7 linked regions of the Rattus norvegicus genome follow. The protein of the gene in region 1 interacts with the protein of each later gene in a pairwise test. Links are inferred from orthologs where the notes say so. Each region holds a gene or a part of one and is shown on either strand. Other genes may lie near its edges. The genes, in order: Birc2, Nmb, Ntaq1, Gcc1, Hsp90b1, Exosc5 and Ppm1k.

Region 1 (4,109 bases):
AGTCTTGCCACCTGAGTTGGTCTGGGGTTCACAATGTGGCCCAAGTTAATGTTGACTGGACAACTGCTTCAGCCTCCAAACTGCTAGAATTATAGTGTGTGCCACCACATCTAGACAAAATTAACACTTTTAAGTAAATTAAATATATCAGTTTTCAGAACAACAAAAGAAAGGAATCAAAATCTATCTTTTTGTTTTGGTTTTTGAGACGGTTCTAAGTAGTCCAAGTTGGTTTCAAAAGTTGTATCAGACTCCTGAATGTTAACACTACATTGGACCTGACATACAAAAATTTTGATCATAGTTCATGATAATTTTATTTTGGAGACAGGGTCTCACTATACTCTCCTAGCTGACCTGAACTTGCTAAGTAGAATGCATGCCTCTGCTCCCAGTGGCTGAGATTAAAGGCATGTGGACGTGGGTGCATTACCTGGCCCATCATATAACTATTTACTGTTTAACAATGTATTGATCCAATATAAATAATTAAATCAAAATTCCTGTTCATCATGGACCATACAGAAGTGAAAGGTCCCTGTAACTCCCTCAAAGAGTCCAACAATTCCTCATTACCATGGACGGCATGCAGGGGTCCAAGCTCTCTTTACTGTATACTCCCACTTATATACGTTGTGGATGTAGTACCTAGAGTAGGAAGGTTCAGATATAGCAGGCAGAAGGGTCGGTGCCGGGGGTGTGTGCAAGTGTAGAGGATGTTTCATCTGGAGAGGATGAGGGCTCTGGGGGTGACTCTAAAACAGTACTCGTGTCCTTTACACCACAGAAGAATACATTTCAGATGGCTAAATTAGTAAACTTTATGTGTATTTTAACATAACAAAAACACCTAACAGTCCATTCATTTTAAAAATGAGGTCCAACTGCACATAGCTGATCAGTGTCAAATACAAAAATTCCAATTTTATTTCACTAACAACTGTGCTCTTAAATTTATTCTAAGCAATAATAAAAATTAAGAGGTTAGGGATGTAAGCAAGAGAATTTGTCAACCAGATGTGAAGCCCTGGGTTCAATCCTCCATACCACAATAATAAACAAATTTTAAAAGTTTTTAAGAACCAATTACCAAGCCTGGCAGTGGTGGTACAGACCTTTAATCCCAGCACTCAGGAGGCAGAAGCAGGTAGATCTCTCTGAGTTCAAGTCCAGACTGGTCTGCAGAGTGAGTTCCAAAGCTACGCTGAGAAACCCAGTCTTGAAAACAAACAAAAAGAACCAATTACCTTGGAAACCATTTGGCATGTTCTATCCAGGGGTCATCTCCGGGTTCCCAACATCTCAAGCCACCATCACAACAAAAGCATTTGACATCATCATTGTGATCCACATAATAAAATCCAGCACTTGCAAGCTGCTCAGGCTGAACAAGAACACTCGATGGCCAGTACAGAAACGTCCTCATCCGAGCAGAGTGTGTCTGCATACTGAGATTGGATACACTAAACCTCTGCGTTTCTGAAGTATTTTCCAGAAATGGACAGTGGGGAAAATGTCTCCTGTGCTCTGACAGAGGATCATCGTTCGGTTCCCAGTTGCTCAGTTTCCCACCACAGGCAAAACAGGCCACCCTGTCTCCAGGCCCTGTGTAGTAGAAGCCTGCTTTGGCCAGCTCTGCTGGGGACAGAAAACTTAATGGCCACATACTGTAAGAAAGAAACCTGGCCTCTTCTGTACTCATGGCATAGCTGCAGGGATTCATCCTCAACGAGAAGTCTTCCACTGCTCTAGAATTGAGAGGGTTTGAGGGCAGGCTGGAATGAATGCCACCTTGTTCCAGAGGTAGCGAGTGTGCAAATCTACTTTTCGCAGGAGACGTGTTCTTAGCTGCAGACTGCAGACCGCCTGAAAGCAAAGTCTGCACAAAGCTGCAGCTGGGATAGAACTGTCTGTGCTTCTCAGTGGGACTGTCCCCTTGTTTCCAGTTGTCCAGCATCAGGCCACAGCAGAAGCACTTGACCTTGTCATTGACACCTGTGTAGTAAAAGCCAGCACGAGCCAGACTCCTCTCTGAGACAGGAACTCCCCTGGGAAAAGCTGAGTATGTGGACATTCTGTAGAGTTCACATGAAAAGTCATACTTCATTTTTTCTTTGTTTTCTTTTGTCCAATTTGACAAGACTGTGCTATTCTCCATTATACCGTTAGTTTACTGGGGTAAGGCACCCTGGACAAGTCTCTGGGAGAGTTCTGTGCAGGAATAGTAATAGTATTTCTGGCAGCTTAAACTTCCATATGAAGCTCCTCACTACTTCACACAAGATCTCTACCATAGACGGGAATGAGACAGCAGACAGCTAACTGGACACATTCACGGTCTTCTGACTGAACTGATGAGTTCACACTCACAGGACAAATCTGTCTCATATGACAAGACACTGCTCGGGACTCTCTGGGAAATCACATGAACTCTTCTGGGTAACCCGAGAGCTATAGACCCAGAACCTACTTCTCGTTATTAGTTATAGGGCAACTGCTGACTGTATATATGCGGGCTCTTTTCCCTTTAAGGACTTAAATCTGATGTCTGAACTACTTCTTTTCCTAGCAAAGGAAAGGACCTGAAGTCTGCATCCTGTATTTCCTCAGAACTAATGTCATACAGCTCATCATTATCACAGGACTCTCTAAAGTGGGTTACATCAACTGCATAACTTCCAGGGAAGTCAGCACAGCTCTACTAAGACTACAGGATTTGTTATAAATAAACAGTGCTTAAAGCATAAACTATTACTCTCTCATTGTTATATAAATCTCATATATCACCACCTTAATTCTGTGTCTATCATTTTAATACATCTGGTCAACAGACAGTATTTTGTACATAATCTTAGACTGCATTTTATAAAGTCTGCCAGTGTTTAAGGCCCAATTCACTATAAGTCTATTATAATTAAGAATGAGTCAATTGGAGACATGGCTTTCTTCTGTTATCACAAATACAAGAACCCTGTTTCACCACGGCTTTTCTGCTGCACAAATGTACCATACTCGTCTTCTTTTCGAAAACTCAGGATTTTATGTAACTATTCATTGTGTATGTGTACTCCAAGCAAACTGCATCTTCTTATAAAAATGTTCAGATCTTCATGTCTGGGCTTATTTCTATGGGAACATGGGAGAACATAAAGGCTCTTGAGGGCTATAAATCTGAAAGAAAAAAAGATATTTTTGAAAACTAATTGCACAGAATTGTCCTCCTCAATTTATTCAATAATGTCTAAAAACGGCCATTCTAGATAACACATCCAACTACAGCAGTTCCTCTCCCAAGTCTACTTAGAAAGGCTCCAAATCAAGGCACACACTGCGAAAGTACTCCTGAAGTACTAACTATGCCTGTCTTTAAAGTGCACAGCGCTGTATTGTTTAACAAGCAAAACTGAAAACAAATGCACATTTCCATTTGACAAAAATTGGTCCCTGATTTCAAGTTTGTTCATTTTATGTATTTTTTATTTACTATTAGACAAAAATGCACCATACTTAATGAACATTTTTTAAGGGACAGAGTCTTATTCAGCAGCCTAGGCTGGCTAGAAAGTCAATGTAACCCAAACTGGTTTTAAAACTTGGAATTCTCCTGCCTCAGCCTCCCAAGTAATAGGAACAGGCTACCAACAGGCTCCTTTTGATTTCTGATTTAAAGCTATTTTGATCTAGCACTTGACTGGAGACAAAAGGCACCTGTTAATAGTGAAAACATGGGTCTGAAGGACTGTTGCTATATTTGCCTTGCAGGTAAAGGACCCTAGGTTTAATCACAAGAAAAAAATTATATATTTTATATTATATTAAAACTATAAATTAAAATATAAATACAAATAATGTATTATAAAATATATTCATACACATAAATATGTGGATATAATACATAAATACAATATAAAATAAACAATATAATAGATATTTTATATTAAAATATAAGTATTTCCTGAGGATTCCCGAGGCATGCCTGCAATCTTAATCTCAACACTTGGAAGATGGAGGTAGGAAGAATGAGATGCTCCTGCTAGACAGAACAGTTGAACTAGCCAGGACTTAATTGGCCACAATAAAGGCACCGGGAAGAGCTCATTAACGGAATC
Region 2 (4,568 bases), on another chromosome or scaffold:
CTCCCGTTGCAGGGGAAGACTTTGTAGCAGAACTCATGGGTGGCAATGGTCAGTGCAGCCAACACAATACCTGGTTGCTGAGAGTTGGCAACCACTCATTGTCTGGCTGGTGCCAGGGTGAGAGGTGATGGGGCTTTCCCAAGACCACCTCTCTGAACATTCCACCCTCCAGAGAGCCCTTCCCTTTTTCCTCAAATGTGGGTGGAAGGAGAGGCCCAGACAGTCTTCGTAAAGAGCAGTATTTTTATTCACAACTTCACCAGGGAAGCAAGAAATACAGCAGGAAAGACTGTGTCTGTATCGTTAACATTCCTGGTGACCCAACCAGAAATCACAGTAACAGAGTAACACATTTGAGCTTAGGTTTCACATCCAGAGGAGGCCACTGCTAGGGTTCCATTCCTCAGTTTCCCTGGATGGACGCATGCTACGCCCAGTGCCGTGTTTGTTCCATTATTGGCGTCACTTCTGCAGCAGCCTCCTGTACTGAAGGCAAAAGAGAAAACTCGATCCTGGAGTCCACGAATGAGGGATATGCTGAGTGTACACAGGGGGGCAGTAGTGACAGGCTCTCAGCTGAGCCTCTGAGTGAGAACCCTTCTCCCTGAAAGACCTGAGGAGTCAGGGGTAATGGTTTTCCCAGAATCTAGCCCTAACTTTCACAGGGTAGTCATGACAACCAAAGGGCACTACAGAAATCAAGCCCAAGGCATTAGACAAGTGTCAGTGACATGCCGTACCCCCCAAGCTCTGCTCCAGATCTCACTGAATTCTCCCTGTCCCTGGCCATGGCAGCTTTGCACCCTCTGAGATTCTCTGATTGGTCCCTAGAGGTGATGCTCCCCCCCGCCCCCATTCAGCCAGCCCAAATTTCTCACTATTGCATCCGAGGTTCCAGGGATGTTCGCTGGGACTGGAGGTAGACCTGCTTCTAAGGAATGTCTCTTCTTTGAGAATGTGCACACTGTGCTAAGTGTAGTGGGGGACAGGAAGGGTGTCACCAGCAAAGCCCTGCTAGAGGCTTGCAGACATGTGGTAGGAGCTCCTGCTTACCAAGAGCTTTCTGTGTGACTGGCACTGGACTGCATATGTGACACTAATGATCTTATCTACTGGGAGGTGGGCCTGTTGTTTCTATTTGATGAATAACATATTTCTAAGGTCACTTAGCTACTTAGCTAGGTATGGCCTCCACATGCATTCTGCCCCATCACACTACCTTCTGTACAGAGCTACAAATACCAAGACAGTAGTGTGCAGTGGGGACAACACCAGGAGCCAAGAATGGAGAGGCTGCCACCCAACCAGGCAGAACCCCACGGCCTTGAGCACCACGGGTCAATGCTTTACAACCAACAGTAATGTCTGAAGGCCTTGGCTTTTGTTTTCCCCAAACTCCCTATCTCAAACCATCCTCCTGCCTCAACCTCTGAGGCATTTGGGACTGCAGGCAAGTGCATTGCTCTTGGTCTGGAGGGAATTTTGGTTATCACAACTTGGTGAGGAAGGAATGTGCCACTGGCATCTGGTAGGTAGAGACCGGGGATGTGCTAAGCCTCCTTAGTGCTCAAGACAGCCCTGCAGAGCCTTTCTGTCAGGAGCACTGGCATTGGGAAATGGATGGGGAGGTTGATGAGCAGGCTGCGTCTGAGTTGTCACGACTGGTAACTTTCCTTCCACCTCTAGGCCTCAGGGATCACAGCTCGGGACACAAGCACAGACTGGCATGGCAAAGGTGGGCTTGGCTAATACACCAGATGACAGCTGGGGTGGACAAGGCTGTGTGGCCTGGAGAACACTCTATTTAAGGGCTAGAGTACTCCTAGTCTGTGACTTCAGACTGGGGATGGGCAAGGAGGAACTCCTTTCCCCTGTAGTCTGCTGCGTCATGTTTTAGTCTTTGGGATATTCCTCCTTTGAGCCCTGGGACCCTGGCTTTCTGGAATCCATTCACATTCCGCTCTGGCTAGGCAGTCCCACCCTGAACCCATACAGGGTGGCAATTCTTCCGTGCTGGTACTGGGGAAGGGACTTACCTGGATTGGGGGAGCTGGACCACTGAGGTTCATGCCTAGCGCTTTCTGTAGCAGGAGGATCCTGAGCAGATCATGACTCAGCTGTAGTCTCTGCTCCCTCTGGGTGATAGGGGGTGCTGTACCCACCAGTGACAGGCTCGGGGGTTCCAGACTCTTCTTGCCCATGAAGTGACCTACAAAAAGGAGGTGCCGAGGTACATGGAAGCTAGGGATGAGGGCCCTATTACCATAAGCAAGTTCTGGTCTATTCTACCATTCAGCTCTCACAGAGGGTAGATAAGAAACATTCTCCTCAGCAAGAAGCCACAGATCTCTGGGCGGAGGAAAGCTGACCCGTTGCAAGACGAAGAAGGGTAGATAGCTCGGGACCAGGGAGATTACCAACCAGGGAAGGAAATGGAGAAGGTGCCTCGAGATGGATATGCAGAGAAGATACCAGGTGAGAAAACCTGGTAGTTTGCCTAAGGGAAGGGGGATCGACTGGTAACCAGATCTAACTAAGATGCTGGCCCAGCTCTGTCTTAAACTTGCTAAGTGGGTTATCTTAGCCATGTCTGTGAGTGCTAGGGTCCCAAGATTCCCGTCTCTCAAACTTGATGAGCTCACGGGTCTGCAGGAGCTCCGCTACTAAGAGCCTCCAGAGGGTTGAAAAGACAATTGAGTACCAAGGTGAGTGAGGCATCCCTGTCGGAGTCCCCTAACACTTACCAGTCGCCCAGAGGTTGCCCCGAGGGTGCACTCGAATCTTGCTTGCTCGGCTGCGGGGCTCCGGGAGATCCCAGGAAAAGGGGGTGATGCCGGAAACGAACAAGGCAAAGAGCAGGAGACCACGGAGCAGCCAAGTGCTCCCTGCTTGCCGGGTCATGGCTGTGCCAAACGGGTTTTCTCTGGCACTCTCAGGATACTAGCTAGTTCTTGAAGCCCGCCTTCCAGCCTTTTAAACTACAGTCTGGAGCGGAGCCTGCCTGAGGAGCGGAGCTCGCTCCGCCCCAGAGCCCCGCCCCCTGCAGGCTCCGCCCACACAGCCTTGCCACCCTGAGGTTTCTAGCAGAAACCTACTATAGTCACGTGCAACCTGGCATGTGGCATCGCCCCCACCCCAGCAAAGGTGGTTCCCAAGACCCTCCTTGGCCACCAACACAGCTTTCTGCCATCGTGTTACATCAGCCCTCAAAGCTTCTCCTTAAAGCTAAAGTGGAACAAGAAGCCCTGCTCTTGGCAGCATGTGTTTGGCATCATCCGGCAGAGAAACTCCAACGAAAGAATCCTGTCACCTCCTGTCTCAAGCCATCTGAGCCTTGCTTGTACCGCTCTGCTCTCACAAATGGCACACACTGGGCAACCTGGAAAAGTTCTGTGCCCAGAATGGGGACAGAATGATGGGGAAGGGAGCGAGGAGTGGCGCCCTTTGGAGGGCCTGGCTTACTATACTCGGTATTAGGCCGACCTACCCTGTAGGTCAGATCAGTAGAAAGACTGCTGGACCAGATGACACTTTCTTCTATTGTAAAACGGAAATAACCACACCACCTATATATACCTTTAATAGTTTTGCATTTTTTAGTACAACTATTTGTGGCTTGTTTATTTCTTTTCGAGGAATGGTCTCTTTGTGTAGCCCTGGCTGTCCTGGAACTCACTACGGAGCCGCGGCTGGCCTCGAATTCAGAGCTGCCTGCCTCTGCCTCCTGAGTGCTGGGGTTAAAGGTGTGCACCACTGCCTGACAGTACAAGTACTTGCAGAGGAGCAGAACTGTCTTCCAGAGCTGTCCTTACCAGTCTTGGAAAATACCTTCAGCCATCAGTGGCACCACTGAGTGAGCAGGGGCAGGTATGTGCCAACTGAGCATTGTGGGAGGGACAGGAGGGGATGCCAACTCCTGGCTTCCAAGAGTTCACCTTCTCATTGGAAACAAGGGCAAGGAGTGGATGATGGAATGTGGTGTTAGGTCTTGGACCCTTTGCTGCAGCATTTGAGCCTCCTAGCATAATCTTTTTGCTTTGAGACATGAGCTATGTAGTTCAGTTGTCCTGGAACTCGCTATGTAGACCATAGTGTGAGCCACTCTGCTCACCTTGGTCTGCTGTCCTTCCTCCTACACATAGCAGGTGTCCTGTGGATCACCGTCCCAGGAGGGGGATTTGCATTCTGTGGATGTCAGGGGTTAGCACATTAGGCATTTCCCTCAGTTGTATTCCGTGTGTGTGTGTGTGTGTGTGTGTGTGTGTGTGTGTGTGTGTACACCCACATGTAGAGGCCAGAGGACAACTTTCAGGGGTCAGTTCTGCTTTGTTTGGGGCAAGGTCTCTTGCTTCTGCTGTCTGCCATGCAGATTCTGGGTTATTCTCTCATCCATACTCTCATCTCACCGTAGGACACTGGTCACACATATGTGTACATACAGTTCGTCTTGTACGTTGTAAGAATCTGAGCTTAGCTCAGCCTTGTTGCACCAATTGTCTTGAGGCTGGGTCTCTTGCTGAAACTGAAGCTCACCGATTTAAGGCTGGCTAGGCAGTATTCCTAGGGAT
Region 3 (3,768 bases), on another chromosome or scaffold:
ATCCACCCCTCCTGTGCTAGGATTAAAGATGCCACCACACCTGCCTTTTGTGTGGGCACTGAAGATCCCAACTCAGCTGGGCTGTACTGGCACACACCTTTAACCCCAGCACTGGGAAGGCAGAGGCAGGCAGGTCTGTGAGTTCAAGGTCAACCTGGTCTATGGAGTGAGTTCCAAGACAGCCAGGGCTATAGAGAAAAATCTCTGCTCCAGGAGACAGGGGGATGGGGGGAGTGTAGATTCAAATCGGGTCCTCATGCTTGTTCGGCAGGCATTTGACCAATCTAGCCATCTTCCCAGCTCGCATTACAGATTACGTTTATATGTGCAGAAGCTAGCTAAAGCTTAGCATGGCACCTAGAGCTACCGGCTGATAAGGCCACATGTGCTATGACCTACTGTGCACTGAGTTGCAAAGAAAAGGACCAAGTCCTGATAAGACCGTGTGCTAATTATCAACCGAGTACCAGGCTGCAGGAATCCACATCTACACAGGAAATGGGTCCCCCGGAAGGCACTAGGTGCCCAGGCTAGCCCCAGGGTACCCAGTCACCTCCCCCCACCACCCCAAGGCACTAGGTGCCCAGGTTAGCCCCAGGGTACCCAGTCACCTTTTCCTAACACAGCTCTCATGGCTGTCATGGGAAAGCTAGGGTAAGACAAGAGGAAGCAATTACAGTTTTTGTTGTGGTTTCTTTCATTATCTTCTTGCTGAGACTTGAGAACCCTCATTAAGAGTCCATGCCCTTCAAATACGTTAGCTGTTTTATGCTTTCTTCCCTAAAGAGCTACTGATGACCTTGCCCTGTTTCTGAAGAATCCTGCATAGCCTACAGGCCATTTTCCTGCAGACCACATTAGCCATGTGATGGGATGATCTCACCCATAACTGGAATGGTGTGAACAATTTACAGTCACAGACAATGTCTCGAAAGCATATGAGTACGGAACAAAAGTAAACAGAGGGAACAGCCTGCTCTGTTAACTCTCAGGGCGCCCTCAACTGGACTACTGCCGAGAAGCACAGAAAGGAAGTGTCACGATAAAACTCTCTGAACATAGGTTTATTACAGGGTTACTAAAATGACACCTCACACACTGGGAGGATGCACCGGGGATTTCTTTTAGCAGTGAATAAAACCCCAGCACAGCCATGTGCTACTGATCCCAGTAGGACACACCGGTGTGTAAACATCCCAGCAGACGTTTACAACAACAAGCAGTTGGCTACTGCCATGGCTTCTGTTCCTCTGTTCGGACTCTCCCCAAGAAGGCTTTTGCCTTCCAGTCCTGTTCTCTGTGCCTTAACTGCTGAATCCAGGAGGTACAGAGGACGGGTACCCTCATTTATCCTCACCACTTGGGGAGCTTCTCCAAAGATGGCTAGACAGGCAGAGGTGGCTCATGCCCTTAGTGCCAGCACACAGGAGGCAGAGGAAAGAGGATTTCTGTGAGTTAGAGGCCAGCCAGTCTGGTCTAGAGAGCGAGCTCCGAGACAGCCAAGGCTACACAGAGAAACCCTGTCTCAAAACTAAACAAGCCGACTAAGAGAGACACAGATCTGAGCAATGAACAGGCAAAGTCACAGCTCACCTCCAGTTTCAATGCAGGGGTACTCTGGAGGGGGCTCTCTCCAGTTCCCACTCGAGTCCTTCATGTGAGACCGGTCAGAAGCAAAGTTCTTCAAGTAGGAGTCAGCACGAACCACTCTGAATTTCCTGCGGGTAAATCAACACACGTTTCTATCAGGGAGTTATCACCGCTGGCAATCCAACTCATTGCTAACTGGACTCTGTTCTATGAGATACACAAGGCTACTCCTGAGTTTCCACACCGATACGAATGCATGCACATGTGCGTGGCTAGTACAAGCGGAAGGGAATGACTGAAACCCCAAGCTGTGAAAATACAGAGAGCAAATCACCCAGTTGTTCTTATTTACACATAAGGGGTCCAGCATTCTAGTAACACTGCACAGAAGGGGCAAAGGGTAGGACTTTTGCTGTTGCCTTGCAACTTTCTTGATTTTGACAACATTGGCCATGCTGACACTCCAGCAACAAGAGAAAAACCCTCAACACATCTGAAAGAAAATGTTGAGCTCATCACACTTTTTTCTTTCTTTCTTTTTTTTTTTTCAGAGCTGGGGACCGAACCCAGGGCCTTGCTAGGCAAGCACTCTACCACTGAGCTAAATCCCCAACCCACACTTTTTTCTTAACACGTGTGTGTGTGTGTGTGTGTGTGTGTGTGTGTGTGTGTGTGTGTGTTTATGGTCAAAGGTAATCTATAGATATCAATTCTTTCTTTCCACCCTGTGAATCTCAGAGATGGAACCTGGGTCTTCAAGCTTGGCTGGTCCTCAGCACACTGATATTTATAATGCCGCCAACCCTTTGAATGACGAGGAACCTTTAAAGCTTTAAGATGCTCTTAAGCTCTTGCATAACAGGCACACCAATAATGCAGAAAGAGGAGGGTGGAGACAGAGGAGAAGGGAGAGGAAGCGCAGAGGGGGAGGGGAGAAGAGAGAAAAAGACTGAGAAAAGGAAAGGGAGGGAAAGGAGGAAGGAGGCAGAGAGGGGACTTCTGTGTAATCACCAAGTCTTACTTCAGAAAATCAGTAGCTTGGTACTGAATTTCCTCACCTCCTAAACTGTGGATGAATGTCATCATCAGACTTAAGGGCATCTTCTATGTAAATGTCGAAAGGGCAGGGAAATGGCAAAATAGTATCAAGGTCATAAATGAAGCTCTGTCCTTCCCTTGACACATGAAGCAGAACGACATGATAATCCTAGGAATAATAATCACTGAGGTTAACCCAGTTAGTGCAGGACGGTCCATCCCAACATCACGGTCAGCACACAGCAGCACATTAGCAGGGAAGCAGCCGTCGGCCTAACGTCCTCTCCTTGTAACTCCTAAGCTAAATGAGAGGAAACACAAAGCCGCAACTCTGAAAAGTGGCCAGTGACTGGGACACGGCTAAACAATCAGTGTGTGACACACTGTTCCGTAACACCCCATGTTCTATAGTTGGACAGAAAAACTGATTGTAGGACGCAGATGTATTTTGTATTATATTTCAAGGTTTGAGCATGTAAAGATCAAAATGTGCATTAAGAAGCATATACTTATTCACATGCATGAATGCAAAAGAAGGCTTCAAAGGTATCTTCTACACTTCGGATCTTCACTACCCATTCACCCTCACCCCCAGGGGGAAAAAAAAAAAAAAAAAAACCTTGTATTGAAGGCTTACTTATCAGGGTGGCAATAGAGAGGCAGTGGAAGCTTCAAGTGGTGAAGCCAGAATGGGTGTGGTGACACACACTTTAATCCTGACACTCAAGAGGGAGAGGCAGGTGGGTCCCTGCGAGTCCAAGGCCAGCCTGAGGTACATGCAGAGTTCCAGGCCAGTCAGAACTACATACTGAGACCTTAAAAACAAAAACACAGTGAAGCCTAGTGAGAAGTGTCCTGGTCACTGGGGGTGTATCCTTGAAGGACATTAGGAGCCCAGCCCTTTCCTCTTCTTCCTCTCCTTGGCCATAAGACAAACAGCTCTGCCCCACCACATGTCTGTGCCTCAGTACAGGCGCAAATGCAGAGCCAAGCAGTCATGGACTGAAACCCAAAATGAGCACAAAATAACCTCTCCTCACCGTGATTCGTCCCCTGTACCATTTACAGCGACAGGAAGTGAGTGGCCCTCCAAACTGCTAAGTAGGGGTTTCCCGAGGTGAGGGCAAGGAAGAGCATGAC
Region 4 (4,568 bases), on another chromosome or scaffold:
GACTTTGCTTTACTCTTAAGTCATAGACTTGCACTCGTAAGACGGCTTTGATAGGGTCCACACGAACATGTAAAAGATCCTCAAAGTAGCATATTGTCTATTGTTTTGAAACACTATGTAGCCTTGGGTGGTCTGGAACTTGCTATGTAGACCAACCTGGTCACGAACTCACAGAGATGCGGCCGGCTTGGCCTCCTGAGCAGATTTTTATTACAGAAATATTTTCTTCAAACGCGTTCTCTCTCTCTCTCTCTCTCTCTCTCTCTCTCTCTCTCTTTCAGAGTGAGCCTCCTCACAGGCTTGGTATCTTCATAATATCACAGGAGTCTTCTTTGTTTTTAGCCCCTCCCCACTTTTATGTTGTGTTCGTGTGTGGAGGTGTGTAGAGCTCAGAGAACAACTTGTAGGGGTGTGTTCTCTCCTTCCACCGTGTGGGTCCTGGTGATAGAACTTAGGTCAGGTCACTGGGCCTGGTGAAAATCGTCTTTACTGCTGAACCATCTTAAAAACCCCACAGGAGTCTTGATGGAATGGACAAAAGCAAAGAGTCTTGATGGTGCCCTCCGGAGATGAAAATCTTTTAATGTCTTGTCACCCAAGATGAAATCTAAATGCCTTTAAGTTGGGTCCTACCCTTTGTTCCAGATTCATCAATAGCCACCCACCTCCCACACCATAAGCTTCCTGGGCAAGTCAGGCTCACTGATAGATACCTCAGAGGTTCCTGTAAACGTTTCCGCTTTTCTTGATGCTGGTTTCCCACATTTGCAGTTTGGCAGTCTTTACTCATTCCTCAAACTTCAAGTCATTTCCCCTAAGAGTCTCTGTCCTTCTGACAGGTGCCTCGCCTCTTTTATACCCTTCAACTATACCCTTACATACTATACTAGTGTGAGGGCAGCATCTACTTGTTTGCATGTCCTTGCTGTTAGGAGTTTCTCGGGACCAAGGCCATGTTTCTTCAATGGTGCCATCAGGCATAGCATTTAGTATGGTGAGAGGCAGACTGAGATAGGATTCCTAAACTTACTAGCTGAGTGACATTGGGCATGTTACCCCTCTGTACATTTACTGTATGTTCCAGTAAATGTAAATTGGTGCTAATGATACCCTCTGAACAGAATTTTGCAAAGACTAAATAGCAAAAACTCTTGTGAGACAGCCCCCACCCCAGCATATGCTGGTATGCAAGATGGACCTTATAGCTATATAATGTCCCTCTTACTAAGCAGAACTAAACAAGGGAGCTATTATGTTAACTAGGTACTGGGCTCGTTTTCCTAGTATGAGTCCTAACTGTTGCCCTAAATGTTGGAAATTGCCCCAAATAGTTTGATGCGTCTTTCATCGTTTTTTTTTTTTTGGGGGGGGGGCAAATGCAGTGTGACGTCGCCCCCTGTCGCTCACTGGTGGTAGTTTGAGGGCAAAGTTAGGCATCTTCTCCAAACAACTGCTCAGGTGATCTTGACTTCGCTTTGGGTAACTATACCTACAGGTTACTCTCTCTCCAGGCCACCAGCGAATACTGGGTGCGGAAGCCCCACCCATCTCATGCCCGCCGGGGGCGGGGTCTGTGGCGTTTTGCTGTCGTCACTTCCAGTGGACCCGGAAGCGTTGTTGTCCCAGTTGTTGGGAAATCGTGATGGAACCGGTCTTAGTGTAAATCCTGGGCTGATCGTGGGCGGAGGGAGGCGGGTCTAGGTTGCGGTGGCCAGGCGAGCAGCTAGGGCGGCACAGGATCAGGGCCTGTACCGGAGAGCCCTGGCTGAGTGTTCCTGCTAGGCCAGCGTCACTCCGCATCCAGGTTGGAACTGTTTCCCACCTTCGGCCTGGCTCTCACAGTGCTTTTGCCTGGCCACCGCGGCCCCTCATCCCGCCCGGACCGCTGGACGACCGGGTGTATTGCCTGCAGCCAGACGATTCTCTCTGCTTTACTTCTAGCTGTTGTGGCTCTGTCCAGGGCTGCAAGAACGCTGACGTGGAGCATCCCACTCCGGAACCCTCATGGAGAAGTTTGGGATGAATTTCGGGGGCGGCCCAAGCAAGAAGGATCTCTTAGAGACCATAGAGACACAGAAAAAGCAGCTTCTCCAGTACCAGGCAAGGCTCAAGGATGTGGTTCGCGCCTATAAAAGCCTGCTGAAGGAGAAAGAAGCCCTGGAGGCCAGCATCAAGGTACTGTCGGTATCCCACGAGGCAGATGCAGGCCTCTCAGGTGTGCAGCCTCCGGGTCTCACGTTTCCTGATTCTGTGGATGACCGGTGCTCCACTCACAGTGAGGATAGCACCGGAACTGCCACGAGCTTGGATACCGCAGCCAGTCTTACAAGTGTCAAGGGTGAATTTGGGGTTGAAGATGACAGAGTGGCCCGTGGACCACTTCCTCCAAAGTCTGAAGAGGCCAGTGGGTCAGAGAGTGGCGTTAGCAGTAGCAGTGGGGATGGGCCATCTGCGGGTAGTGAGATAGACAAAAGAGTGCATCAGCTGAAGACTCAATTGGCCACTTTGACTAGCTCCTTGGCTACAGTCACTCAGGAAAAGTCCCGAATGGAAGCGTCTTACCTGGCGGATAAGAAGAAGATGAAGCAGGACTTAGAAGATGCCAATAAAAAGGCAGAGGAAGAGCGGGGCCGCCTGGAGGGAGACTTGAAGGGGCTGCAAGAGCAGATAGCAGAAACCAAAGCCCGACTTATTACACAGCAGCACGATCGCGCCCAGGAGCAGAGTGACCATGCCTTGATGCTGCGGGAGCTACAGAAGCTTTTGCAGGAGGAGAGGACCCAACGCCAGGACCTGGAACTTCGGCTAGAAGAGACCAGGGAAGCCTTGGCAGGGCGGGCGTATGCAGCTGATCAGCTAGAAGGGTTTGAACTGCAGACCAAGCAGCTGACCCGTGAGGTAGAGGAGCTGAAAGGTGAGCTGCAAGCCATTCGAGAGGAGAAGAACCGACCAGATCCCCGGCTGCAGGAGCTTCAGCAGGAGGCTGCCCGTCTTAAAAGCCATTTCCAGGCCCAGTTGCAGCAAGAAATGAGGAAGGTAATTATTTTTATGTCCTTCAAACAGTTATTTTAACTTCCATAGGAAATATTAGTATCATTTTTCTCTTTTGGTCATTAGATAACTGTCGTATATGTGCACGCTCCTGTGCGTGTGTGTGTGTGTGTGTGTGTGTGTGTGTGTGTTTCATGAGGCAGGGTCTTCTCATGTAACCAAGTCTGCCCTCATAGAGATCTGCCTGCTTTTCCGTACCAAGTGCTAGTATTAAAGGCACCCTCTTCTCTACTTAGAACAGGGTTTTGTTCTAGTCAAGGAATGCCTGATGCTTGTTAGTGGGTGAGTGCTGGGATTGTGGTCGGTTCCACCTTCCTGATATGCACACTGATATTTGATGTCAAGTGAGAAAGTCCACTAGTGAGTCCTAGGAAATCTTGTTTTGTGTGGTGTCCTTTTAACAGGATGAGGAGTTTCTGAGTATTTCTGGGTTCAAGCCAAACAGCTCTATCTAGGCCTCTGGGTGTTGGCATCTTACCAGTGTGGGCTGTTTGAGGCAGTATAGTGACAGCTATTTAGGGAAAGATTGTGTGTGTCCTGAGAAGTGTGTGCTTATAGGTAGGAAGGAAGCAAAGGGGGTTTTCCTGGGAGAAGCGTCTCGTGTATGCGCTCGGTTGAGGTTTGCCTGTTTTAGAACTAAAACTGTTTTTGCAGTGTTCCCTTTCAATGGAGAGAGGGATCCAGGTTGGTTTTCAGTTTCCAGGAATGTTGGGAAAGGGAAAGAATGTTATGCGGCTTCTTTAAATGATTCGGAAGGTGCGGGACTAACAGGAAGGAACACATTTTGTATTCAAGCTTAGTGAAAAGTGGGAAACTGTGGTAGAAACAGCACATATACAAAGGAGTTTCAATTATAAATCCCGCTTGTTCTGGGTCATCCCAAGCCCTGTTCACTTCTGTCTTGCTCCCCCATATCCGGTTGACTGTAGGGTTTTGTGACTTTCCTGGACGCCTTGTCACCTGTTCTTTGCTTTGCAGACAGCCCTTGCAGAGGACCAGCTTCGCCAGCAGTCTCAGGTAGAGGAGCAAAGGGTAGCAGCCCTGGAGAACCAGATCTCTGAGGTGTCTGAACTGCTGGGCACCTATGAGAAAGCCAAGCAGAAAGACCAGCTGGCCATCCAGAAGTTGAAGGATCGAATTTTACAGTTGGACTTGGAGAACAAGACACTGGCCCTTGCAGCCTCCAGCCGGCCCTCTCTTGACATCCATGGAGACGAATCCAGTCTGGATATCAATGTCTTGAAGGACAAGATGGAGAAGCTCAAGAGGCTCCTGCAGGTTGCAGCTAGGAAAAGCCAGGTGACCCTGGATGTAGAGAAGCTCTGTGACCCTGATATAATGGCCAACTCAGAGGCTGCGGATGGGGAAAAGGCTACTGCGCTTTACTACCAACAGGAGCTGAAGCAGCTGAAGGAAGAGTTTGAGCGGTACAAGATGAGAGCCCAAGTGGTGCTCAAAAGCAAGAACACCAAAGATGGGAACCTGGGGAAGGAGCTCGAGGCCGCACAGGAGCAGCT
Region 5 (2,684 bases), on another chromosome or scaffold:
GTCTTGTTCATCCCCTTAATATTTTACCTATACCAATGAGTCACATAGTTATGGATGCTGTGTAAATATATAATTTCCAATATGCCTTTACCAGTGTCCCTAAAAATTCACTTATTTTTAAATAGATCCCGATTAAGTTTCCAGTGCATGCTGTATACATGCATGGTCATTAGCTTTTTCCAAGGCCAGATATACCACACATCCACCTAGGGCTTAGAGTACTTCCGACAGTCATCCTGACAGTCTGATGTTCACCAAGTCTGGAACTAGGTGTAATGCAGTAAGTGCTGAAATGGTGAGTAACTTTGCTGACACTACAGTTGGGTTTTAAATGGCACTACAACGTTGGATAGAAGATATACGGCAGTGTTCTTTACGAAGAACTTAAGTCTTAGAGAGTCAGGCAGGTCTGAAATGCCTTTAACCCCAGCAGTAGAAAGGCAGAGGTAGGTGGGTCTCCTTGAGTTCAGGCCAGCCTGATCTACAGAGTTCCAGGAAAGCCAGAGCTACTCAGAAACCCTGTCTCAAAACCAACCAAACAAACAACCCAAAACAAAACCGCTAGTGAGGCATGATGTAAATGTGGACATTATTCTTACTCTAAAGCAAAACTAAGGAAGATCAGGGTGATACATGTTCCAGTTCAAAAGAACAAGATCTGGCACCCTGGAAGGGGCACCCCCAGTTTCTTACTTTGTAGAGATGTCCTTGCCCGTCTGGTATGCTTGTGCCTTCATGATCCTCTCCATGTTTCCAGACCATCCATACTGGCTGGCCACAAGGGCACAGGGAGACTCTGTGAGGCGCTGGGACACCACAGCCTTTTCGATCTTAGAATGAGAAACATTAGACAGAAGGAAGGATCAGCAGTGTCAGTCACCATCCCAGAGCATAGACACTCAGTGAATCTGAATTTTTTCAGCTACAAATTTATACTAAACCTGTAAAAACTTAGTAAAAATCAGTATTACAGCAACAGGAAACTGCTGTAAGTTGCAAACTCACACTGCCCTGTATTTGATGGCATTTTTGAGGGGCAGGTGGGTCTTCCACAACAAATGAATGTATCACTGAGCTCTATGTCCAGGTCCCTGTTGTCACTCCCGAGTACCCGAGGCACACGCCACTGTCTGCAGTTGCTAGTGGTAATGAACAAACTGGGTGTAGACTAGCTTGCTGTTAATTCCTGTGTGGAGACACTACAGTCTGCGGTCCAAATACCTTGTCCTTGAGGGCCTTATCTTTCATCCAGTTGAGCAGAGGCTCAAACTCCTTCTCTGTTGCTTCCCGACTTTCTTTACTTTTCTCACTCTCATCAAACTTCACTCCTTCTTTGGCAACATTCTGGAACCGTTTCCCATCAAACTCAGGAAGAGCCTGAATGCAGTATTCATCCACGGGCTCTGTGAGGTAAATAACTTCATAGCCCTTCTTCAGAAGCCTCTCAACAAACGGAGAAGATTCAGCCTACAAGATTAAAGGAAGTATGAGTTTTCAAGTTCTGCCTTGGCACATTAGCTGTGTCTCCATACCGTTAACAACCCCGTGTGAGACAGGGACATAAGGCAGTGTCCTCTAGCGGCTGTCTAACTAGTCCAGCTACACGACTAACTTCTTTCCCTCACACACTGTCTACACGCCCCCAGCTGGCTACCAGGAACCTAGCGGCTGCACTTCATCTTACCTCTTTTCTGCTTGACCCAGCCATGAAGTAGATTTTGTCCTGTTTTTCCTTCATTCTTTCCACATACTGGTCTAAACTAGTAATGTCAGTTGAATGGTGAGAAGACTGGAACCTAAGAAGTTTAGCAAGCCGTGTTCGATTTGAGTGATCTTCAATCACACCAAGCTTGATATTGGTGCCAAATTCTTTCCAGAAAGTGTCATTATATTTCTCATCAGCGATCTTCTTGATCATGTCCAGAGTTTTGCGGACAAGCTTCTTCCTAATCACCTAAAGAAAAATGGAATCTGGTTAGGAAGGTTTCTCTCAAACTTTTGCTAAAGAGACCAGGATAGCAGCACCTGAGGCAGCACAATGGCCACACTACTGATCAAGGGACAGGAAGAACCACAGCGCTCCCACATCAGACTGTGTTAGAACTAACAACAACTGTTTCTAATGTTAATATTCTAGTGCTACAGCTCAGATATTTAGACAAAATGACTAATATTTTCAAATGCTTAAAAACAAAACAAAAACCCTAGTTTTCTAATCACAACAATACTGGCAAAAGGGCTTATTGAAAGGCCTAGTATGTGGTCAACTGTGGACAGACAGTAGGTAGGTGTGTTCCCTGCTTTCATCTCTGTTCAAAACTGTACTAAGGGTTGGGGGAATGTAACAGCTTTGAGATCCAATAATCTCAGAATCAAACAAGTTCCTTTTTGAGATGGTCTTAAGTTAGGGTAGCCGCAAACCCTGGCTTAACTAGCATGACCATGTCATCCTCCTGCTTTTTCCTTCAAGCTGTTAAGATTATAGGCCTGCACTGATGTTGTGTCTGGTAGAGTTTCTTTGAATAGTCAAAGACCAGCCTTGCTTCACTTGCTTCAACATCTAGTTGCTCTACTGCCAGAACCACTTTCTGTGTGATGGTGCGCAGGCCTACACACGAGGGGTTCAAACTCAGTATCTTAAGCACAACAAATAAATATGTCACTGAGTTACATCTCCAGTTTCC
Region 6 (4,356 bases), on another chromosome or scaffold:
AAGCAGAAAATAGGATGACAAACCTACACGGGCAGCTTCCGGGGCTCTGTAGGTTTCCACTGGACTTTTTTTTCTTCCTTCCTTCCCCCGCCCCTTAAAAGATTTATTTATTTTATTTATATGAGTACACTGTGGCTGTCTCCAGACACACCAGAAGAGGGCATCGGATCCCATTACAGGTGGTTGGTTGCTGGGATTTGAACTGAGGACCTCTGGAGGAGCAGTCAGTGCTCTTAACCACTGGGCCATCTCTCCAGCCCTCCATTGGACTTTCTGCAGTCAGGTTCTGTGTGGTCAAGGCTGGCCTCGCCCATGCTGTGCAGCTGAGTGACCCTGGCACGAGCTGCTCCTCCTGCCTTTATTTATCTCCCTGCTGCTAGGATTAGGGGTTCAGTACCATCGGTTTTGTTTTTGTTGGGTTTTTTTCTTTTTATCAATTTTGCTTGTAAGGTAAGACACTGTGCTGGCTAGTTACTTCCTTTGCTTTGCATTTGGTAAACTCAGCACGAGTTAGCCATACCTGGAAAGAGGAAACTCAACTGAGGCAACTGAGGGACTGCCTCCATCAGAAGGGTCTGTAGGCAAGTCTGCAGGGGAATTCACACACTCCCGGACCCAAGGCATTTCACTGATTAACAACTGATATGGAAGGGTCCCACTCGCTGTGGGCGGCGCTGCTGTTGGGCAGGTGGTCCTGGGTTATAAATGAAAACAGGCTGAGCAAGCCATGAAAGGCAAGGGCTCCTCCATGGTTCAGTTCCTGCTTCAATGGACTTGGGGTATGTAGGCCAAACAAACCTTTTCCTCCACAGGTTGCTTCTGGTCATGGTCCTTATTAGAGCAAGAGGAGCCTAATGAGGTCAGCTATGAAGTAATAGGGTTAGTGTGTCATTTATCACATATACCCATCATTTGCACTGCTCACTGATGCCACGCCCCCTCCCATAGGGTGTTCTTGCAGGAGCCTTTGAGGTCAGATGTGTCTGCAACATTTTTTTAAAAAGATTTATTTATTTATTATATATAAGTACACTGTCGCTGTCTTCAGACACACCAGAAGAGGACATCAAATCCCATTACAGATGGTTGTGAGCCACCATGTGGTTGCTGGGAATTGAACTCAGGACCTCTGGAAGAGCAGTCAGTGCTCTTAACCACTGAGCCATCTCTCCAGCCCCATCTGCAACATTCTTTTTGAAAGTCTGCAAGGTCTCCAATTTGCACCAGGGCCCCGTGGTTTAGAGTTTTAGAACATGGAAGGGTTCCCATTCTATTTCTTATATCTCGAGAGACAGGAGACGCTGAGTTTAGCAAGTGAGCAAAACCAGGAGCCAGCCTGGGATGAGAACACTATTACATCTGCGGGTGCTTTTCCAAGGAAACCCAATGGGACAGGGTCTTAGCGCCAACATCTGCCCTGAAACCAGAAGTGACCCAACTAGACTCAGGTGCTTACTAGAGCTACACAGTAGCTGTTCCTGTTCTGCTGTATAAACTGTGCTCTCGGCAAGCAAAATAGTCTCTTCTTTCCCACCATCTCTACAACGGGGCTACAGAAATTCTCCCCTTTTCAGTCCCTAGGATTTATTTTATTTTTAATTATGTGCATGCATGCTTGTGCAAGCCCCCCCTCTCTTTCTCTGTGTGTGTGTGTGTGTGTGTGTGTGTGTGTGTGTGTGTGTGTGTGTCCCTGCATGCAGAGGCTTCTAATCCCCTAGCTCCTGAGTTACAAGTGCTTGACAGCCTCCTGAATAGATGTTGGGAACTGAACTTTGTCCTCTTCAAGAGCCACAAGTGTTCTTAACCACCAAACCATCTCTCCAGTTCCCGGTTGTCTCCCTTTTTTTTTCTCCCCAAGACAGGGTTTCCTGGAACTCCTCTCCACAAACCAGGCTGGCCTCGAACTCATAGAGACCCTGCCTCTGTTTCCCAAGTGTTGTGACTAAAGGTGTTATTTCTTTTCTTAAGCTCCTGTCAGTCTTCAACTCTTGTCCCATCTACCAGATCCCTTCCCAGGAAAATGCCTGAACAGTTGTCTTAACTGTCCTTTCTTGCTCTCTCTGACCCACCACTACCCCACACTAACTTACTAGCCATAAAGTGATCAGCTCTTAATATCTCAAACACAACTCCCCATTGTCAACTCCATCTTTGTCCTCTTCATTTGTCTACTCTGGTAGTTTTTTACCCTCCCATGACCTCTCAAAGTTGGTTGGCTGGACTGGGATACAGGGTTATGTGGGCCTCAGCCTCGAGATCTCTCTTTTCTTTCTATTCATTTACCCTGATGAGACGTGTATACCAAGGAAAGGCATGTTTTCTCAAATGATGGGACCAGAGAAGGGGAGCTACTTGTTAGCCCAGGATGGGAGGATCACGTTCAATTTTCAGAGCATTTACTTAGGTATATCACCTGCCACAGTAATTATATTTAAACCAGTAGTGGTGATGTGTCTGTCTCAAAGGGTATTTATGCAAATAAACACCTTAGCCTCAACCGATGATGTATGGATCCAGAAGTGTTTTTTAAGAAATCTAGTCAAGGATAATATTTGCCTTGGTGAAACACCTATTCTGGAATATTCACTCTTAGGAGAGGGGTCTTGCCCTGGATTTCTTCCAAGAGGTATTGACCAGCCTGGCCAAATCATTTCTTCTCGAGTCGGGAGGTGGGTATACGCAATATCTAGAAATAAATTCTCCAAGGAGGTGGGCGTACTTGGTTGCACACTACACAGTAACCGCTCTTCAAAAACCCTTCTTCGGTGAGGATGGCGCGCGCTGAGTTAAACCTTGTTAAAGTCGTACCTTGCAGAAAAGAAGCAGATCCATCCGGCCGGGACAGCAGGTTTTGCTCACAAGCAAAGTGCCGGAGGCTGCAGACTGGACTTCGAGGGCTGGACTCTGTTCCGGTGTCAGTGAGTACCTTGGCGTCTGCACGCTTTGCTCCCTCCATAGCCGCTGACCACGCGCGCTGGGGCTCCTACCGTAGCTTCCGCTCAGCCGCACGCGCAGTTCTACCGGCCGTGTACCTACCGCGCAAGCGCCAATCTAGGGCACTCCCGAAGTGGCCCTAGCACGTGGCTCGGCGTTTACTAACAATCTGGTCCTGCCCACCTCCACCTCCCAATTCTGGCAAAGCCATTGGAGAATAGGGAATAAGGGGCAGGACTTGGACTAGGCCCATTTTGCCCAAGGCCCCGGGCCCTGAACCCTGGAGGTTCAAGTGAGGTTGTCCTTTTTATTGCCTGATATTGGAACAACTCCAAGCAGACGACTGGAGCAATTTTAAAGAATAAAAATGGTCAACTTACTTATTTCTACGTCTTTGTTGCTAGGCGGTTGGAAGAAAATAGTGCGTTGGCCTAGTGGTGCTGAGATTTGAATAAGGCATCTGATGGGACAGACGCATGTCTATCTCCTGAGAAAGGAGGAGTGGTTACTAGCCAAGATGGCGGTAGCGATGTCCGCGGCCAAGATCTGGAGGCCGAGCCGTGGCCTGCGCCAGGCTGCCCTCTTGCTGTTGGGGCGACCTGGGGCTCGGGGCTTGGCTAGATTCGTGAGTACCTGGCCCCCACAGTGTCTTTCTTGGGGAGAAATAGAGACGTAACTGTTATTGTTACAGTGTGCGTGGGGCACCGCGGGCTGTGAAGGAAGAGCAGATTCAGAAAGAAAAGGACCGGGAAACTTTTTGAAGAGAAATTCAAGGGAAGGCTCCCTTTAGAGCAAAAGCAAGGCAGCTACTTGCGGGCTTCGATGGAAGGAGACGAGTAAGGGATGAGACGGGGGTTGAAAGGACAGATCAGGTTTTCATAGGGTTCTACATTACTTAAATTCCAATTGTAAAGGGAGTCGAGCAAGAAACTCGTTTGTTTCCTATGTCCCCTGACCAAAATTCAAGGCGAGGGACTTTTCCATGACTGTCATTTACAGAAGATGATCATGAAGGGAGACAGAGCGAGAAGTTCAAACAGGACCCTTTGCCCACGTTATTTTTTTTTTTGAGACAGGATCTCACCCACTCATCTGGGATGGCCTTTAGCTCACCCAGATGCTTAGATAGGTATCCGAACTGGAGATAGTCCTGTCCCAGTCTCCCAAGTCCTGATATTACAGATGTGCGCTACGGTGCTTGGCTGCCCACTTTTCTTGAAAACACTCGAGAAAACTCGGAATCTCTTTTGATCTATTGTTGATAAGGGCAGGATAACACTTCCAAATGCTGTTGCGATCTGGCGATGTACCACAGTGCAGAATGCTTGCCTCACACTTGCCACGTCCAGAATTTGGCTCCTAGCCCCGCGCTTTTTGTTTATCTGGATATGGCGACATGTGTCTGTAATTTCAGCGCTTGGG
Region 7 (4,443 bases), on another chromosome or scaffold:
TATGTTCATGTCCAAAATTTAACATGCACTCCAGGGGCTGGAGAGATGGCTCAGAGGTTAAAAGCACTGACTGCTCTTCCAGTTAACCTGAGTTCAATTCCCAGCAACCACAAGGTGGCTCACAACCATCTGTGATGGGATCCGATTCCATCCTCTAGTGTGTCTGAAGACAGCGACCTTGTACTCACCTAAAATAAATATTTTTTAAAAAATGCATTTTAGCTTACATTCTCTATTATAAATATATGAAAATATGCCTTTCCCACCATTTCCACATGATTTATGTGACTAAGCCTTTCTCCCCCATCTTCCTCCTCAACCTGCTACTTGAAAATTGACAGGAAAGAAATGAAGAACTAAATAAAATTGCAATGTTAGAACAACATCAATGCCATATAAGTAACTCCATCTAGCAGGAATCTCAGCTCAAAAAGTTAAAGAAGCTGTGAGAGCGTCATAATCACAGATTGTCTTCAAGAGAGTACTGTGAAACACACATTTCCAGAGCGGCAATCTCAGGCCAAAGACATCCACAAAGGAGCTTTGTGGGGTGGTCCACCCCTAGATTCTCGACACTTGGAGGGGTGAGGCAGGAGGGTCAGGAATGAACGGCCCGTCTGGACTACTTAAGACCCAGTTAACAAGAAAAACCATCAGTAAACAGAGCACCTGCCTCGTAAAGTTTGCAGATCACCATTTCATTTCATAGCACAGGGACCCCCACACACAAACAGATGCAAGACTATCGCACCAACTTTACTTTTCATACTTCCCGGTCTTTATACTTGCTCAGTAGTTTAACTCCAGAGCTGTTCAATTTCATTTTTGGAAAAAGGAGGCATTATCTCCATAGCAGGTTTTGACACCGGGAATTTGAATGCCAAAAACAACTCAAAGAGGAAGTTCATTCTTACCACTTTACGCAAGCACCCAGCAGGATTAACTAACTGGGGGTTCTGACAATCAGCAGAGGGCTTAGATTTTTCCGCCCTCTAGGAAGCTGGTGAGGTAACTATAAAGTGGCACTTTGTTATCTTCCCATAATGGAAACACATGATAATTTTTATATGTATGTATGTATGTATGTATGTATGTATGTATGTATGTATGTATGTATGTATGTATGTGGCAGTGCAGGCCAGCACAGGCAGTCACAGGTTAGAGGACATCTTGTAGGCATACCTTCTCGTGCCCTAAAGTAGGTCTTGGTGCTAGAAATCAGCAGGCGGTCACTTTTACTAGTCAAGCCACATCACCAGCCTGATTTTTTTTAATATTCTCAAACTCCAAATTTCTTTACCACCATCCATCATCACCAGCAAAAACCCAGTGCACCCCAATAAATAACTAAAGCCATCTGAAAACTTCAGAAATGAACTTTAGAAAATCGGCAATCTTAATGTCTTTATGTCCTCTTAGAAGAAAGAAAATGTATTAGTTTACTGGAGAAAAGAAAACAACAAAAAGGTCAACGACTCCCTTAGGTCGTATGTGAAAGTCTGTTTGGATAGGCGAACTGAGAATACAGTATGGAAAAGTATTACTCAACTCTGTGAAGGGGTGTGTGTGATGTAGTCAAGGAAAAAGAGACTCGGATTTCTAGAAAAACAATTATAAACAAGAACCCATTATCCAAAGCTTCCTATTTAATGACACTTGTCATACAGTGGTGAGCTGGTTTCCAATTTCCACAAGCTCCAACACACACCAGCAAGACGACACCCTCCCTTCCGCGAAGCTCTGGAGATCTGGATCTCAGGCCGCCCCCAGGTTTTCTCACCGGGGTACGGGTCCAGCAGAGGCCACATCTGCTCAACCGGGTTGGTGCACACCTGGGGGTAAGGGGCTTCGCAGTTTCTATTCCTGCAGCTCCTACAACGAAAACACCAGTGGAGCTTTTGAGACTCGAAATTTTCTAGCTATTTCTACCCAGAGCCTCAATCTTTGTCTCCTCCGGGTAAATTTTCTCTTATGCAGAAAGCGGCTGCGAAAACCCGCACCTCGAGCCACATGTCCCTAAGATAGTGCTCTCCTACCAAGGCAAAACACAAGCTCTCAGATCCAAACAAACCGCCAGGGCTCCACAACCCTTTTCTAACCAGTCTCTTCACAAGTCCCGAATGGACAGGGTTCTGGGCTGGTTTACTGGCCTTGACCAAAGCTGGACGTGGCAGAACACTCTCCAGCCCGGGCAGCCCAGCAGATCTCCCGGCATCCGGAGTCTTCTGGCCGAGAAATAGGTCCGGAGGAAGCCTGTTATAGCCCGCTGGAGCGCACCAAGGGGTCTCGCTGCGAGGAATCAGAGCGGCTTCAGTTATCTTAGCTCGCTTTCTGATTTTTCCATGGGACCCCGCCCATCCCACTATCCCTGCTTCCCTGGCGCTCACTTCCAGCCCGAGGTCAAGTTCAAGGCCGATCGGGGCTGTGTCTGGGGAGCCGGATGCTCGGGCACAGCCGCCGAGGGCCTAGGCGAGAGCAGCTGCTCTCCACCTCGAGAAACGGGGAGCACATCGAGCCCGGAGAGATGCGCGTAGGACTCGGCCTCAGAGTAAGCTGCAGGAACTCATTTCATATTTCTCTTTCTCCTTCCTGAAGACCTCCGGGGACCGCCAATGTCTTGTCAATAACCTAGGAGAATAAACGAATCGAACTCTTCAGGCTCTTACCTTGTAATGGCTTGTGTCTGTAAATTTCTTAATTGGCTAATGGAAGGAAGGGAAGGCTTTCTTGGATGATAAATAAAGCTGAGTTCTCTGTTGATTCTGATCTCCAGACCAAGCAATTAGAGAAGCCACAGCCTCCTCCACTCCTGGAAATTCTTGAAAAAAAATTTCAACCGCAGCTGGCCAAATGGAGACCCGGAGGAGTATGTTTCTGATGATTGACAACAACGCTAGCCAGTTGGTGCTCAGCAGGGCAGGGCTCCTTGCCCGCCCTCAATCTGAGCCAATTACGGATCTAGATAAGAACGAGCCTCCTGCACTGGCGATTTGGCCTCTCAGATTGCCAATTAAGCCCTGTAGACAGACGTCAAATTGGGCCAGTAGCTGTTCGACATGGCGCCCCGCCCTCCCGATGAGCCTTGGCGGCCTCGAATCAGACGCCAGGGACCTTGTTTTTCGCTAGCCACAGGAAGGAGTATCGCTTCTGCCAGAGTTATCTTGGCTGTGACCCGAAAGAGAACAGGACAGCTACGCTTTGCTTGTAGAGCACTTGTACGTCATTCAGTGTTCTTGCTCGTTCTTTAACAAATCACAGAGCAATGTTCTTTGGACTGCCATAACAGGCATCTTGGGATGGCTCGCAACTATCCTGCATACCATAAAAATTCCATCTTTCGAAGGAAGCATTGCCTAGGATCTGGGGGCGTCCCAAATGACTCAAATAATCTAACTGCTTTTAGAACCTTCGGTCTAATAAGGAAGAAGAGGAAGCAAGGCAACAAATAAACAGTAAAAGAAAAATCACATCAAGAGAGGGAATGACTGAGGTGTGGATGGAGAACACTGGGCAGTGAATTTACGTAGGGCGCTGAGTCCCACAGGAACTAGTCAAGGAAAGATGGAGCTGAGCAAAAGGCAACAGCAGATGCCTTTCAGGCTGTATGAGCACACTACTGAAACCTGCCCAGGAGTATTGGCCAACACGAAACTAACTCCATGGTTTTTGTGTGGGGGTGGTTTTTTTTTTTTTTGACACTTTTTAGTCTTAATTTGTTTTTGTTTTGATTTTTGGGTTTTTGTTTGAGACAGTGAGAGTGCATACACAAAGTTAAGTGGGTAAGGAAGTGGGGGGGTATGTGAAAGGAATTGTGGGAAGGGGAAAGAATATGCTCAATATATGAATGGAATAAGTTCTAATTAAAAATATTCTTATAATTCATAATTAAGTCGTGTTGCCTAGTTGCACCTCCTGGCCCAAGAGCATCTGAAGATCCAGTGCATTTAATAATAATACGTTTAGACAGCGATATTCGTGTTGACGCCTCACTAACTCTAATGACTTGTGTTGGGTAGAGAGTCAATTTTCATAAAGCTCTTGAAATTATTACTGGATCTAGCATACAGACAGAAAAGTGCGCATACTGGATGTGGCTCAAGAGATCTTCACAACATGCAGCCTGACTCTGTATCCAGCACCTGACCAAGACAATGTTTCTAAGCCCAGGAGCAGTTCATCCTGCCATCTCACTACTGCTTCCTTGCAGGAGCAGCCTCTGTGCTGACTTTTAACACAGCAGATTAATTCTGCCTTTACACCTGATGTGTATTAAACCGCAACCTATGCGTTCTATTTGCTTACTTGGCTAACTGTGGCTCAACGATGTATTTGTAAGATTTTTTTCCCATGTTGCTATACAGTCGGGGTCTTGATACCTTTCCATTTTGCAATTCGATCATAGCTTATGCATTTATCTTTGTGATAGACGCTGAAGGCATTTCC

What was found.
Region 2: the proteins of Birc2 (region 1) and Nmb interact in binary tests that used the Homo sapiens proteins (3 or more experiments, as listed by UniProt). The two-hybrid records come from large-scale screens. The link is inferred for Rattus norvegicus from reciprocal best matches to the Homo sapiens genes BIRC2 and NMB.
Region 3: the proteins of Birc2 (region 1) and Ntaq1 interact in binary tests that used the Homo sapiens proteins (3 or more experiments, as listed by UniProt). The two-hybrid records come from large-scale screens. The link is inferred for Rattus norvegicus from reciprocal best matches to the Homo sapiens genes BIRC2 and NTAQ1.
Region 4: the proteins of Birc2 (region 1) and Gcc1 interact in binary tests that used the Homo sapiens proteins (3 or more experiments, as listed by UniProt). The two-hybrid records come from large-scale screens. The link is inferred for Rattus norvegicus from reciprocal best matches to the Homo sapiens genes BIRC2 and GCC1.
Region 5: the proteins of Birc2 (region 1) and Hsp90b1 come close enough for resonance energy transfer, tested with the Homo sapiens proteins (2 studies listed by BioGRID). The link is inferred for Rattus norvegicus from reciprocal best matches to the Homo sapiens genes BIRC2 and HSP90B1.
Region 6: the proteins of Birc2 (region 1) and Exosc5 interact in binary tests that used the Homo sapiens proteins (3 or more experiments, as listed by UniProt). The two-hybrid records come from large-scale screens. The link is inferred for Rattus norvegicus from reciprocal best matches to the Homo sapiens genes BIRC2 and EXOSC5.
Region 7: the proteins of Birc2 (region 1) and Ppm1k interact in binary tests that used the Homo sapiens proteins (3 or more experiments, as listed by UniProt). The two-hybrid records come from large-scale screens. The link is inferred for Rattus norvegicus from reciprocal best matches to the Homo sapiens genes BIRC2 and PPM1K.

The regions. Positions count from the first base shown.
Region 1 is NC_086026.1:13,268,741-13,272,849, forward strand, and holds the start of Birc2 (baculoviral IAP repeat-containing protein 2), read right to left. Parts: upstream 2,801-4,109; 5' UTR 2,159-2,800; coding exon 1,248-2,158; intron 1,167-1,247; exon of another isoform or gene 1,116-1,166; intron 1-1,115. UniProt on the Homo sapiens protein: Multi-functional protein which regulates not only caspases and apoptosis, but also modulates inflammatory signaling and immunity, mitogenic kinase signaling, and cell proliferation, as well as cell invasion and metastasis.
Region 2 is NC_086019.1:144,278,457-144,283,024, forward strand, and holds Nmb (neuromedin-B precursor), read right to left. Parts: upstream 2,967-4,568; 5' UTR 2,902-2,966; coding exon 2,745-2,901; intron 2,210-2,744; coding exon 2,037-2,209; intron 487-2,036; coding exon 463-486; coding exon of another isoform or gene 428-462; 3' UTR 222-427; downstream 1-221. UniProt on the Homo sapiens protein: Stimulates smooth muscle contraction. Induces sighing by acting directly on the pre-Botzinger complex, a cluster of several thousand neurons in the ventrolateral medulla responsible for inspiration during respiratory activity.
Region 3 is NC_086025.1:91,587,122-91,590,889, reverse strand, and holds part of Ntaq1 (protein N-terminal glutamine amidohydrolase), read right to left. Parts: exon of another isoform or gene 2,798-3,768; coding exon 2,649-2,797; exon of another isoform or gene 2,119-2,648; intron 1,719-2,118; coding exon 1,594-1,718; intron 1-1,593. UniProt on the Homo sapiens protein: Mediates the side-chain deamidation of N-terminal glutamine residues to glutamate, an important step in N-end rule pathway of protein degradation.
Region 4 is NC_086022.1:57,999,225-58,003,792, reverse strand, and holds the start of Gcc1 (GRIP and coiled-coil domain-containing protein 1), read left to right. Parts: upstream 1-1,607; 5' UTR 1,608-2,004; coding exon 2,005-3,036; intron 3,037-4,029; coding exon 4,030-4,568. UniProt on the Homo sapiens protein: Probably involved in maintaining Golgi structure.
Region 5 is NC_086025.1:22,999,812-23,002,495, forward strand, and holds part of Hsp90b1 (endoplasmin precursor), read right to left. Parts: intron 1,955-2,684; coding exon 1,685-1,954; intron 1,468-1,684; coding exon 1,222-1,467; intron 831-1,221; coding exon 694-830; intron 1-693.
Region 6 is NC_086019.1:90,294,592-90,298,947, reverse strand, and holds the start of Exosc5 (exosome complex component RRP46), read right to left. Parts: upstream 3,040-4,356; 5' UTR 2,957-3,039; coding exon 2,809-2,956; intron 1-2,808. Other genes in the region: Bckdha (2-oxoisovalerate dehydrogenase subunit alpha, mitochondrial), read left to right, coding at 3,452-3,559. UniProt on the Homo sapiens protein: Non-catalytic component of the RNA exosome complex which has 3'->5' exoribonuclease activity and participates in a multitude of cellular RNA processing and degradation events.
Region 7 is NC_086022.1:88,940,783-88,945,225, reverse strand, and holds the start of Ppm1k (protein phosphatase Mn(2+)-dependent 1K), read right to left. Parts: upstream 2,878-4,443; 5' UTR 2,667-2,877; intron 2,661-2,666; exon of another isoform or gene 2,388-2,660; intron 2,290-2,387; exon of another isoform or gene 2,151-2,289; intron 1,873-2,150; exon of another isoform or gene 1,709-1,872; intron 1-1,708. UniProt on the Homo sapiens protein: Serine/threonine-protein phosphatase component of macronutrients metabolism.